Sus scrofa: one gene and its partner. The protein of the gene in region 2 purifies or fractionates together with the protein of the main gene of each other region. This does not show direct contact. Links are inferred from orthologs where the notes say so. Each region holds a gene or a part of one and is shown on either strand. Other genes may lie near its edges.

Region 1 (5,514 bases), on a different chromosome or scaffold from region 2:
ACCATTGTCACGGCCAAGGCCACAAGGATGGTCTGCTAACTTGCTTCTGTACTTTATTCGAGGTTGGATCTCTAGGTCCTAGCACAGGGCCGGGCCCATGCTGGGTGAGAGTTGGGAGACCTGAGCCCTTCTCTATTGCTCCACAGGAACAACCCAGCCAATCACAAGCCTCGCTTTTCCCATGTGGATGAAGATGGGAGAAAGCCCTTGCTTTGCAGGGAATGCCTTGCATCTTCTGTCACCTCTCTTGCTCCATGATGGGCCTGCGTCGCCCTGGAGCCTTCCCGCTACAATATGAGGGGCTCTCTATGGTTGGCCTCAGGTGACAGCAGGAACGTACCACGCTGCTGGTTTCTGCTGGGTAGCCATCGAAATCTCGGCATCCTCTGAGCAGCTGCCAGGAGGCCCAAGCTAAATAAAGGACTCCTGGAGCGGTGAGGGTGGCAGCCTGCCTGGCATGGGCTTTACAGCTCTAGGAGGGGCTGTACCCAGCTGGGCAGGGCAGAAGCCCCAGCAGTGAGAAGGGGCCACAGGTGTCACTGACACCTTGCCTTATACATAAGGGAACCGAGGCTCCCAGAACCTTGATGCCACATAAGCTCACTGGAAGGGGCCACAAGAAACCAGTACTTATTTGTCTCTGGGCAAGGGAGCCAGGGAGGCAGGGAGCTGGAGCTGGGAGGACTCACCTGTCCCCTCTGGAATCTTGAGGTTCTTTTTTTTTTTACCATGAGTGTGAATGACCTAAACGATGACAAAAACTAAAGTCTCCACAGAACTTATTCCATCCGTGTGCTGTCCTGAGAGTGTTAACACACATTAAATACAAAAGGTGATCCTCACAACAACCCTATGGGGTAGATACTGTGAAGATTCCCTGCTGGGGAAATGAAGGCACAGAGCAATCCAAACTCACTGGGAGGGCTCCCACTGTGGCACGAGACAGGTGGCATCTTGGGAGCACTGTGACTCTGGTTCAATCCCCGACCTGGCACAGTGGGTCAAGGATCTGCCAGTGCCACAGCTGCAGCTTTGGTCACGACTGCGACTCAAATCTGATCTCTGGCCTGGGAACGTCACATGCCATGGGGTGGCCAAAAATGAAAAAAAAAAAAGAAAAGAAAAAGAAAAAACAACTTGCCAGGCAGTAAGTCTGTGATTCTGAAGGAGCCAGGATCTGAACCCAGGTGGGCAGGCCTGCGCTCAGAAGCACTCCAGGCTATTTGTTCTAGAATCCCCTCTTTCCCTCTGGAATGCTTACTCACTTCCTATGATTGACTCGTGGAGGTGGGGGTCTTGCTCCCCCTAGAGTAAAGCACCAGTGTCCTGTGGCAGGGCTGGGATAAGAACCTAGGCTTGCCTGCCACTGAACTTGGTGCTGCTGGAGACACCAGGCTCTCTACCTCCGACCCTCTCCACCGCTGCCCAGGAACTCTCAGTAGCAGGCCAGGAAAGAGTTTTGGCCAGGAGGGAGAAGGGCGTGGTGAGAGGAAGACGAGGTAGGAGAGGGGGCACTAGCCTGCCGCCCAGCAGGACCAGAACATCCACCACACAGTGGCATAGATTGACTATGTGACAGTAATCCATGTTCCTGAGGATAGTCTTCAGAGCTTTGCAGAGATCTTAAATATTTCATGATAAAATGTTACACATGGCAAGAAAGAGAGAAGTGCTAGAACTTTCTTCTTACACTCCAGCGGCTTGCCCAGCAGGGACACTACCCAGGAGACTGCTGCTTTAAGGAATGGGTTGGAACTAGCACTGGGTAGCAGATGTAGGGACTCATGCTGTGTCTTGGCAGGAAGGGGAAGAGCCCTTCTAGGAGTTTCTAGAAAAAGGACTGGGAGCTGATACACGGAAAAATGGGGTGAGGAATTCCTAACTGGAAGGTTCTGAGAGGTATATGCCCTGAGTTTCAAAGTCTCATAGGCACAGGAATGTGGGTGCCGGAGCTCTGATTTTGGGGAGCAGGAGGCTAGAACATTACATCTTAGGAGGGCTATTTTGCTGGCCTGTGAACACTGCTGGGTGGGAGAAGGGCAAGAGAACAGACTTTGGGATCCTGGAGTCTGGATTTGGGGAATAAGTAAAAGTAGGGCAATGAATCTGGAATCAGACTGGGAGGGTTTCTGGTAAAAGCAGGGTCACTCTGGGTGTCTGAGATCAGCAGTCCATGCTAGGGTCAGAAGGAAGAAGGGGTGGGTTTGGGTCCTGGACTTGCATTTGAATGAGGCTTTCCAAAGCTGACTCCTACAGGAAGCCTGTCTTGGGTGGGGGGGAGAGTTTGGTGACTGGGTCTGCAGTACCAAGCAGGGGCAGGGGCTCTAGCTGGGGGGAAGCCACGTGGGTAGGATTTCCTGACATAATGGGAAACTGGGTCTACAGTATGTGAGGCTGAAGGAGAGTGGCCGGAATTGGAAGCTCCATCAAGGGTAGAGCTGGTGGTTCAATCTGAAAGGGAACTAGGTTTCAAAATGCCAGTCCTAGATGGGACTAAGGATACTGATGGGCACTGGTTTAAGTTCCAGGAAAGGGGTCCTGGGTGTGGGCTGGAGTCCCACGCCAGGAACAGAAATCTCAAGGAAGGACAGAATTCCTTGTTGTATTTAGAGGATTTCTGGATCTAAACGGGAATCACCACTGGGACCCAGAAAGGCCGATCGAAGAACAGACTTACAACTTAAAGTACTGGGAACTCTAGGGATTGGGAGGGGCCCATGGGATGTCCAAGATCACAAGGGGGTACTTGAATAGGATCAGGGTCAAGATTCTGAGGTAAGATTCGGAGCGTAAATGGAAGGTCCCAAACGGAACTGGGGGGGAAGCCCAAAGCTTGTCTTGGTAGTTAAACTCTGAAGAAGGTGCCCTAGGGGTGAACTGGGAGTTCCAAGAAGAAATCGGCAGGGGGAGGCTCGGATAGCAGGCAAGGGACTCAAGGGTCCCGGAAGTTCTGGGATCCCGGAGTTGAATCGAAGAACCCTGGGCGCTACTGAAAGTCCAGACTGTAGGGTGGGAATCTCAGGTGTCCATGGCCGGGTTCCTAGCAGTATCTGAAGTCAGAACTCTGAAGCAGAGACCCGGGAGTGGGGGAAGGGGCTGGCCGCGCGCGCTCTACCTGGTGCCTCCAGCGGAAGAGGCTGGCAGTGTCGATATTGGGGTGCGTCTCGTCTTCATCGTCAGACACCTCGATGTGATCCCACACGCTGTAGTCCACCATCTTGCCTTGGCGGCCCAGCCAGCTCCGACTCTGGCGGCGGTAGCGGCAGCACGGAGACTCGGACCGCCGAGCCCCGCCCCTTCCGCTTCCGTCTGGGCGCGCACGCCCCCGCCCGCACGTGACGTCACATCCTTAGTAACCCTGGCAGCGGCCCTGGCGACCGAGTTCTTAAAGAGCCCTGCGCACGTGTCCCAACTCCTGGGATTCTCCCTCAAACCTCATCCCATCCTGCTTCGGGCACTTCCTGGGGGGTATATGAGTGGGTTCTCCAACCTCGAGCCCCGCTAATCTCCTGCCGCCGCATAGTGGGCCTTTACGGCGGCCGTAAGTGAGCAGTTGGCGAGCCTGAGGGAGAGGATTGTCCTCTTAGCCACGCTGCAGTGACGTCAGCCCTAGCCCACTGCTGGGTTCCTTGTGAAGGGGGATTTAGCTGTGTTGGGGAGGTTGTCTGATATGGAAGGACCTTCCCAGTCCGAGGGGTACAGGACCCTGTCCTGGGAGGGTCTAAGTGAAGGAAGGATATGGCCCTGCCCTTGAGGGGTTGGAGGTGATGGGAGTGCTGTGGCTCTGCCTTGGGGCCTGGTGTTTCCCCGGCTCGAACCACAGCCTCCTCCTCGCTTCTGCCACTCCTGAACGGGGATTCGCGCGCCCCCCTTCGGAATCACCCAGACTTCATTTAACTAGTCTCGGGAGCCGATCCACAGCGTCTCCCCGTGCGGCCGCTGGGTGGCACCAATGTCTAACTAGCGGCCAGTGCTTCTGGCCTCACACCAAGTGGGGAATCTTTCCCGGTGGTAGTGCTCTAGGACCGCTAGCAGGCCTTCCCCTTTCGTCTGGGGCCCCTTTTCTGGTCCTGGGCTCTAAGGACTCTTACATTGAGCTTGAGCGACCCCAGCCACACACTTTCATATATCCCTACCCACGCTTTGATACCAGGATAAAAGGCCGCGTTGCAGCCTAGGGCCGGGATTATCTCAGATTAAAGGATGCTCCGATGGCGTGGGGGATGGGAGAAGCTTCAACCACTTGCGTGAAGGGCGCCTCTTCCAGACTCCCCCAGAGTGGGCGTTTGGAGGGAAAAGGCTGGAGAGAAAGGAGTAAAGGTCTCTAAATGGGGGCGCAGGGGGGATGGGAGGGGATTCCCCAGTCGGGGGAAGGGGAGGGGACACGTCCTGACAAAGCTCCTGCCCGCTGCCTCCCCTCCCCCTCACGCTTCATTCAAACCGGCAAGGAGGCGGGCGGGGGCGGGGGAGTCCCCCTCTCCTCCTCCTCCCTCTCCAGCCCCGGCAGTCCAGCATCTCAGCAGCCGTCACGGCCTGGGCTCGCGCGCGCACGGACCCACACCTCAGGTCTGACAATCGCGCGTGCGCGCGCGCGCACACACACACACACACACACACACACACACACACCAGCAAACAACAAAGGGTCTGGACACCCCTGTCCCCTCCCGCCCCCCAGGCCGGAGAGGGCGGGGCATCCCCTCCCCAGTCCCCCTGCAAGGTAAGATTTGGGCTAAAAGCTGCGGTGGGGAGGGGAACCTGGCGCCCAAGAGGGAGGGGGCTAAGACGGAGGGAGTTTTCCTGTCCCCCAGAAAAGTCAGGTACCCCCCATTAAAATCAAAGTCCCCCCTGTACGCCCTCTGAGGGCTTCAGGCCGGCTTCTGGGCTGAAGGTGTGTGGGGAGAACCCCGGATGTCGGGGATTCCGGGTATACACGGGGGTCTCTACCTGGCTGCGGATACTGGAACTTCCTGGCCCCAGCGAAACAGGATCCCAGGAGACTCAGCTCCCAGAACTGGGGACAGGGCGCCGGAAGCTCCCCCAACAGTGCCAAGCGTTTCCTAACCTCCTGCCAACACAGCATCTCTAGTCCTGGGAACTGAGACAGAGATCCCCGAGTTGCTTTGCACCGTCCCCGGGTCTCCCAACCGCCCTCCCCACATCAGTGCTTCCCTGGCTGTATGTCTTACACCTGTGTGATGGGGGTGGGGGACTGGGAATGCTCCTCTAAGCTACCCAAGCTTTCTCTGCTGCATCCCACAGCCAGACAATGCTTAGCTGTGGTGGTAGGACTGGGTAGTCAGCTTTGCCTTCCTGAGCCTTGATTTCCTCATCTGGGTGATGACACACCTAGGATTTGGGGAGGTCACGCATGCGAGTCTGCTGTTACTCCATCATTTATTTCACAGTTCATTTAACACATATTTGGCAAGTGCCTACTGTGTGCCGGGGTACTGTGGCCAGGCTGTCAGGCTACAGCAACCAACAAAACCAGCTGGGTCCCTGTTCTGCTGC
Region 2 (4,716 bases):
CGTTCAGCATCTCAGGGGCCATCCAGTAGGGGTTTCCCACTACCGTGTAGCGCTTCTTGCGGTCACTCTTGCGTAAGGTACGTTTCTTGGTGGCGGCCTTCTCGACTGAGGGCTTCTTCCGCTCCTCCACTATGAGCCGTGACAGCCCAAAGTCAGCCACCACCACAGTCTTGTCCTGGGAGGACAAGGGCCAGGTCAGGACTTGGTGGGGACATTCTCAAGAGAAGCCACTGAGAAGGGGAGAAAAGGAGTGTAGCAAGGGGTAGTCTCAGCAAATGCTTGCCCCTGGCAGATGGGGCTCAGCATTGGTTTTCTCACCGTCTGCTCTCTCCACATGGCAGATCCCCAGACCCAGGGGTGCACAGCAGAGGCCCTGGAGCTGGGACGGGTAAGGCTCTGGGACCTGGAAGGAGGAACTTGGAGGCAGGACAGAGGATTTCTTTTGTTTTGATTTTTTCTCATCCTGCCTTGTTCCCAGAAAGATTTAAGGCCATGGCTAGAACCAGGATAAGACAGGGAAAGATGAGGTGGAGGCATTCAGTGGGGGGATGTGGGGGAGATAAGCTCTTCAAATAGCTACAAGGCAGTCATGTGGAAAAGGGATTAAGATTGTTTGGTGTGAGTCCAGAGGGCACAGTCAGGGCCAGTGAGTGGACACCCAGGAAGCCGCACTGTAAGGCAACAGGAGGAGTAACTTATAATAGCCAGGACTGACTGGCCAGTAGGAGGAAGTGACTGGAAATTTATTAGCTCTGTGGCCTTGAGGATTCAGGTGTCACAGCTGTAATCGGAGTCCTCAGTGGCTTTTACTACCGCAGGGGAAGACCAGGAAAAGGGACAACATACAGCTAAGGAACTTCTGAAGTCCCTTGTGACTGAAGGATTTCAAAGGCTGCCTTTGGGAGGAAGCAGACTTTACTGTATGTGTCAGGGGGGCCCCCAGAAGACAGAGGAGGGCATGGGAGGCAGCAAGAAGGGCAAGAAGGAGCCCTGGCCATACTTCTGGTCTAGAGCAGGACAGGAGGAGTTCCCATTGTGGCTCAGTGGTAACGAACCCAACTAGTATCCATGCGCTACCCAACTGGTATCCTGGCCTCGCTCAGTGGGTTAAGGATCTGGCGTTGCTGTGAGCTGTAGTGTAGGTTGAAGATGTGGCTCAGATCTGGTGTTGCTATGGCTGTAGCAACTATACCTCTGATTGGACCCCTAGCCTGGAACTCCCGTATGTTGTGGGTGCGGGGAAAAAAAAAAAAAAAAAAAGGCAGGAGGGGACAGTTAGCTTCCCTAGTGACAGGGAAGTGGCCCAGAGTGGTGGGACATACCAGCTTGATGAGGCAGTTGTGTGAGTTCAGGTCCCGGTGGATGATGCACATGGAATGTAAATAGGCCTGAAACAGAAGCACAAGCTGAGGTCAACAGCCAGTAAGTCAATCAGATGCTGACTTCTGCAGGCCACAGAACCCACTCTCCTCCCAGGCTGTCACTACCCAGCTTCAGAACCTAACTTGGACTCCAGAGTCCTCCCGCTGTCACGCCCGTGTCCTAGGGCCAACAGAAAGCCAAAGGCTGCCTGGGCTTCCTCTCTCTCTACTGCCATCTCCTGTCCCAACTCAGTAGCTGCTCTGTCCTGAAGTCTCCAACTCCATTGGGCCCTGGCCCTTGTGTGCCCTCATCCCCTCGACCCACTTCACTTAGACTCAGGCTACCTGGGTGCACTGCTCCTGACCCCTTCACACCCCTTAGCCTCACCCCAGTCTTGGCTTCAGCAGCCCTGGATTCTGCTGTGGAAGAGGAAATGACCTGCCCGTGGACCAGCAGGCTCTGTGCTCCTGACAGCCCTCTCCCCAGGAACTCAGCACCCTCCTCACTCTCTGTCGACACTTCAGCCTCTCCCCTTCTTACCCAAGTGTTTATTTGCTGTTCCCCAGCTCCAGGCCTCCACTTCTGGCTCTTGTCACACTGGAGCCACTTTGTCCCTTTTCCTTCCCCAGCCACCGCCCCTCCCCAGCCCTGCAGCACTGCTTCCACCTCCTGGGCTCCTGGAGTTGCTCTTCCGGGCCTGCATGTCGTTCCCTACCCGGAGGCTGCCCACACCTCTCCTGGGCTGACCTCCTTCTCCTTCCAGCCTCCCTAGTGTCAGCCCTTCTCAAAGCCACCTTCTCTTCACGGCTGACCCCCACTAACCACCCCATTGCAGCCTCGGCAGACACCTATCCCAGCTCTTCTCAAACCTGTTTCCGGACCATCACTGCCAACCTCCCCCTCTTTCTGGTAGACGCCACCACCATTCTTCTAGGCACTTCAAGACTCCCCAGTTTCCCCCAACCCCATATCCCTGTTCCCTCACTGCCAACCAGTGTCCATTCAGACTTGAACTTGCGTCCTGGTCTCCTGGCCCCATGGATGTACAGTAATTTAGGAACCTGAAATGCCTCATCGACCCCCTGCCCTGAGTTCTCTCAACTCTACCAACTTTCTTGCTCAAAAATCTTTTACATTTGTCTTTTGGGGTTCCTAAATAAAGTGCAGACTCCTTAGCCTAAAATACAAGGATCTTTTTTTTTTTTTTTTTTGCTTTTTAGGGTGCACCTGCAGCACATGAAAGTTTTCAGGTTAGGGGTTGAATTGGAGCTGCAGCTGCCAACCACAAGCACAGCCACAGCAACACTGGATGCAAGCTGCATCTGTGACCTATGCTGCAGCTCACAGCAGCACCAGGTCCTTAATGCACTAAGCAAGGCCAGGGATTGAACCTACATCCCATGGATACTAGTCAGGTTCTTAACCTGCTGAGCTACAATGGGAACTCCAAAACACAAGGATCTTAATGTACCCAGTCTTCATGGACCCTACATGATGAGCAGGGATTAAAATATCAGGCCTGGGGGTCAGACTGACTAGCCCACCTAGCTCCACCCTGTCTGGCCTCAGCTTCTCATCTGGAACCAGGGCTATCTTGAGTACTAGTCCCTCAGCTTGGTGCCTGGCCTGAGAAGGCACTCAGCAACTGTCACCATTCCCATCGCTGTGACTGGCATCATGCTTTCCCAGGTCAAACAGTCTATTTCCTCCTCTCTCCTCCCAGGTCCTGGCTGCTGACATCACCCCAGCTTTGGGGCCTCTCTGCCAAGAGGAACTTTTATCTGGTTCTGACCCATCCCTTCAGGGTTTGACTAGGAGACAATTCCCCTTCTCTGATTTCCTAGGCGGTGATGTTCTCTGCTTGCTCCAAGAGCCCTGGATGCCCCTGTGACAGCAGGGCCCAGCCACCTGTGCTAGTCTGCTTCTCTACTTTGCCTTGCCTACCTCTGTGTGCCCTAGAAGATATGGAATTCTTTGAGAGTAGGGTTGTGAGCTGGGAAGAGCCAACTGGGGACAATTTCACTGGCAAAGAGAGAAGCTCAGTGAATAGCTGCTAAATGGCCTGGCACATGCAAGTTATCCAGGACGGAGTACCTGCCTGCAATCCCTGCCCCTTTCCTGACCCTGACTCCCAATACCCTGCTCTGCTCCCAGGCTTGTTGGCAGGACTCACCATTCCAGAGGCGATGCCTTTGGCAAATCTGACCTTCTGCTGCCAGGGGAACGGGTCCTGCAGGATGGGGGAATGCCCATAAGAGGCTGCTGGGCCATCGCACTTGTGGTCCAGGCCCCGTGGTCACCATGATCTGCCAGGAAACCCTCACTGCTGGTGCCCAGCCCCGCCCAGCATGCCCCTTTGTATGCAAAGCAGTGGGCCCCTGGCCATCATGGCTCCAGGATAGTGGTGACACAGATGTCCCACTGACAGCCAACCCAGGGTCCAGGACTTTGGGGGTGCAGCGCTCACCACGCTGCGCAGAAAGTCCTTCAGTGTGCCCCCCTCGATGTACTCAGTCAGCAGGTTCAGCTTCTTGTCCTTGTACAGCACACCGATGAACTTGAGCACGTTGGGGTGGTCCAGGCTGCGCATCACCTTCACCTGTGAGAGGGGAGGCCAAGGAGGGTGGGTGGTTTACTTCTCACCTCTTCCCTCCAGGGGGTCAGATGGACATATGCCACCATGTCTCACACCTCCTATCATGTGCTAGGGTGGGCTCCCAGGCCTCACCCTTGGGATCCTGCCTTTCTAGGAGCTACATCTGGGATCCTGTGAAGTAGGGGACCCATGAGTGAAACACGCCTGGGGGCAGCACCCAATGGAGCAACTGAGAGAGGGAGTGAAAACCATACGGACCCTCAAGGGCACCAGGCTCCCTCAGCAGGGAGCTCAGTTAGTCATAGCATTGAGTTGTGGTACAAGGGTGTTTTCACATTTATCATCCCACACTCCTGAGCTCCTCTGAACCACTTCTTCCTGTACCCAGCTCCTGCTGTCTTTAGTATTTGTTTTTTTCTTTTTCTTTTTGTCTTTTTGCTATTTCTTGGGCCGCTCCCGTGGCATATGGAGGTTCCCAGGCAGGGGTCCAATCAGCACTGTAGCTGCCAGCCTACGCCACAGTCACAGCAACGTGGGATCCGAGCCGCATCTGCAACCTACACCACAGCTCACGGCAATGCCAGATCGTTAACCCACTGAACAAGGGCAGGGACTGAACCGAACCCGCAACCTCATGGTTCCTAGTTGGATTTGTTAACCACTGCGCCACGACAGGAACTCCTTTTTTTTTTTTTTTTTTAGTATTTGTTACACAAATAATTACACTGTAATTTACGGGGGCAGGCATGTTCCTATAG

The links. Proteins that work in one complex are often made in the same cells at the same time.
Region 1: the proteins of LIMK2 (region 2) and CDC37 purify together in Homo sapiens (affinity purification with mass spectrometry; 3 studies listed by BioGRID and IntAct, with this or other methods). This does not show direct contact. The link is inferred for Sus scrofa from reciprocal best matches to the Homo sapiens genes LIMK2 and CDC37.

The regions. Positions count from the first base shown.
Region 1 is NC_010444.4:69,209,599-69,215,112, forward strand, and holds the start of CDC37 (hsp90 co-chaperone Cdc37), read right to left. Parts: upstream 3,312-5,514; 5' UTR 3,218-3,311; coding exon 3,116-3,217; intron 1-3,115. UniProt on the Homo sapiens protein: Co-chaperone that binds to numerous kinases and promotes their interaction with the Hsp90 complex, resulting in stabilization and promotion of their activity. Inhibits HSP90AA1 ATPase activity.
Region 2 is NC_010456.5:48,028,444-48,033,159, reverse strand, and holds part of LIMK2 (LIM domain kinase 2), read right to left. Parts: intron 3,962-4,716; coding exon 3,830-3,961; intron 3,593-3,829; coding exon 3,536-3,592; intron 1,389-3,535; coding exon 1,323-1,388; exon of another isoform or gene 319-1,322; intron 176-318; coding exon 1-175. UniProt on the Homo sapiens protein: Serine/threonine-protein kinase that plays an essential role in the regulation of actin filament dynamics. Acts downstream of several Rho family GTPase signal transduction pathways.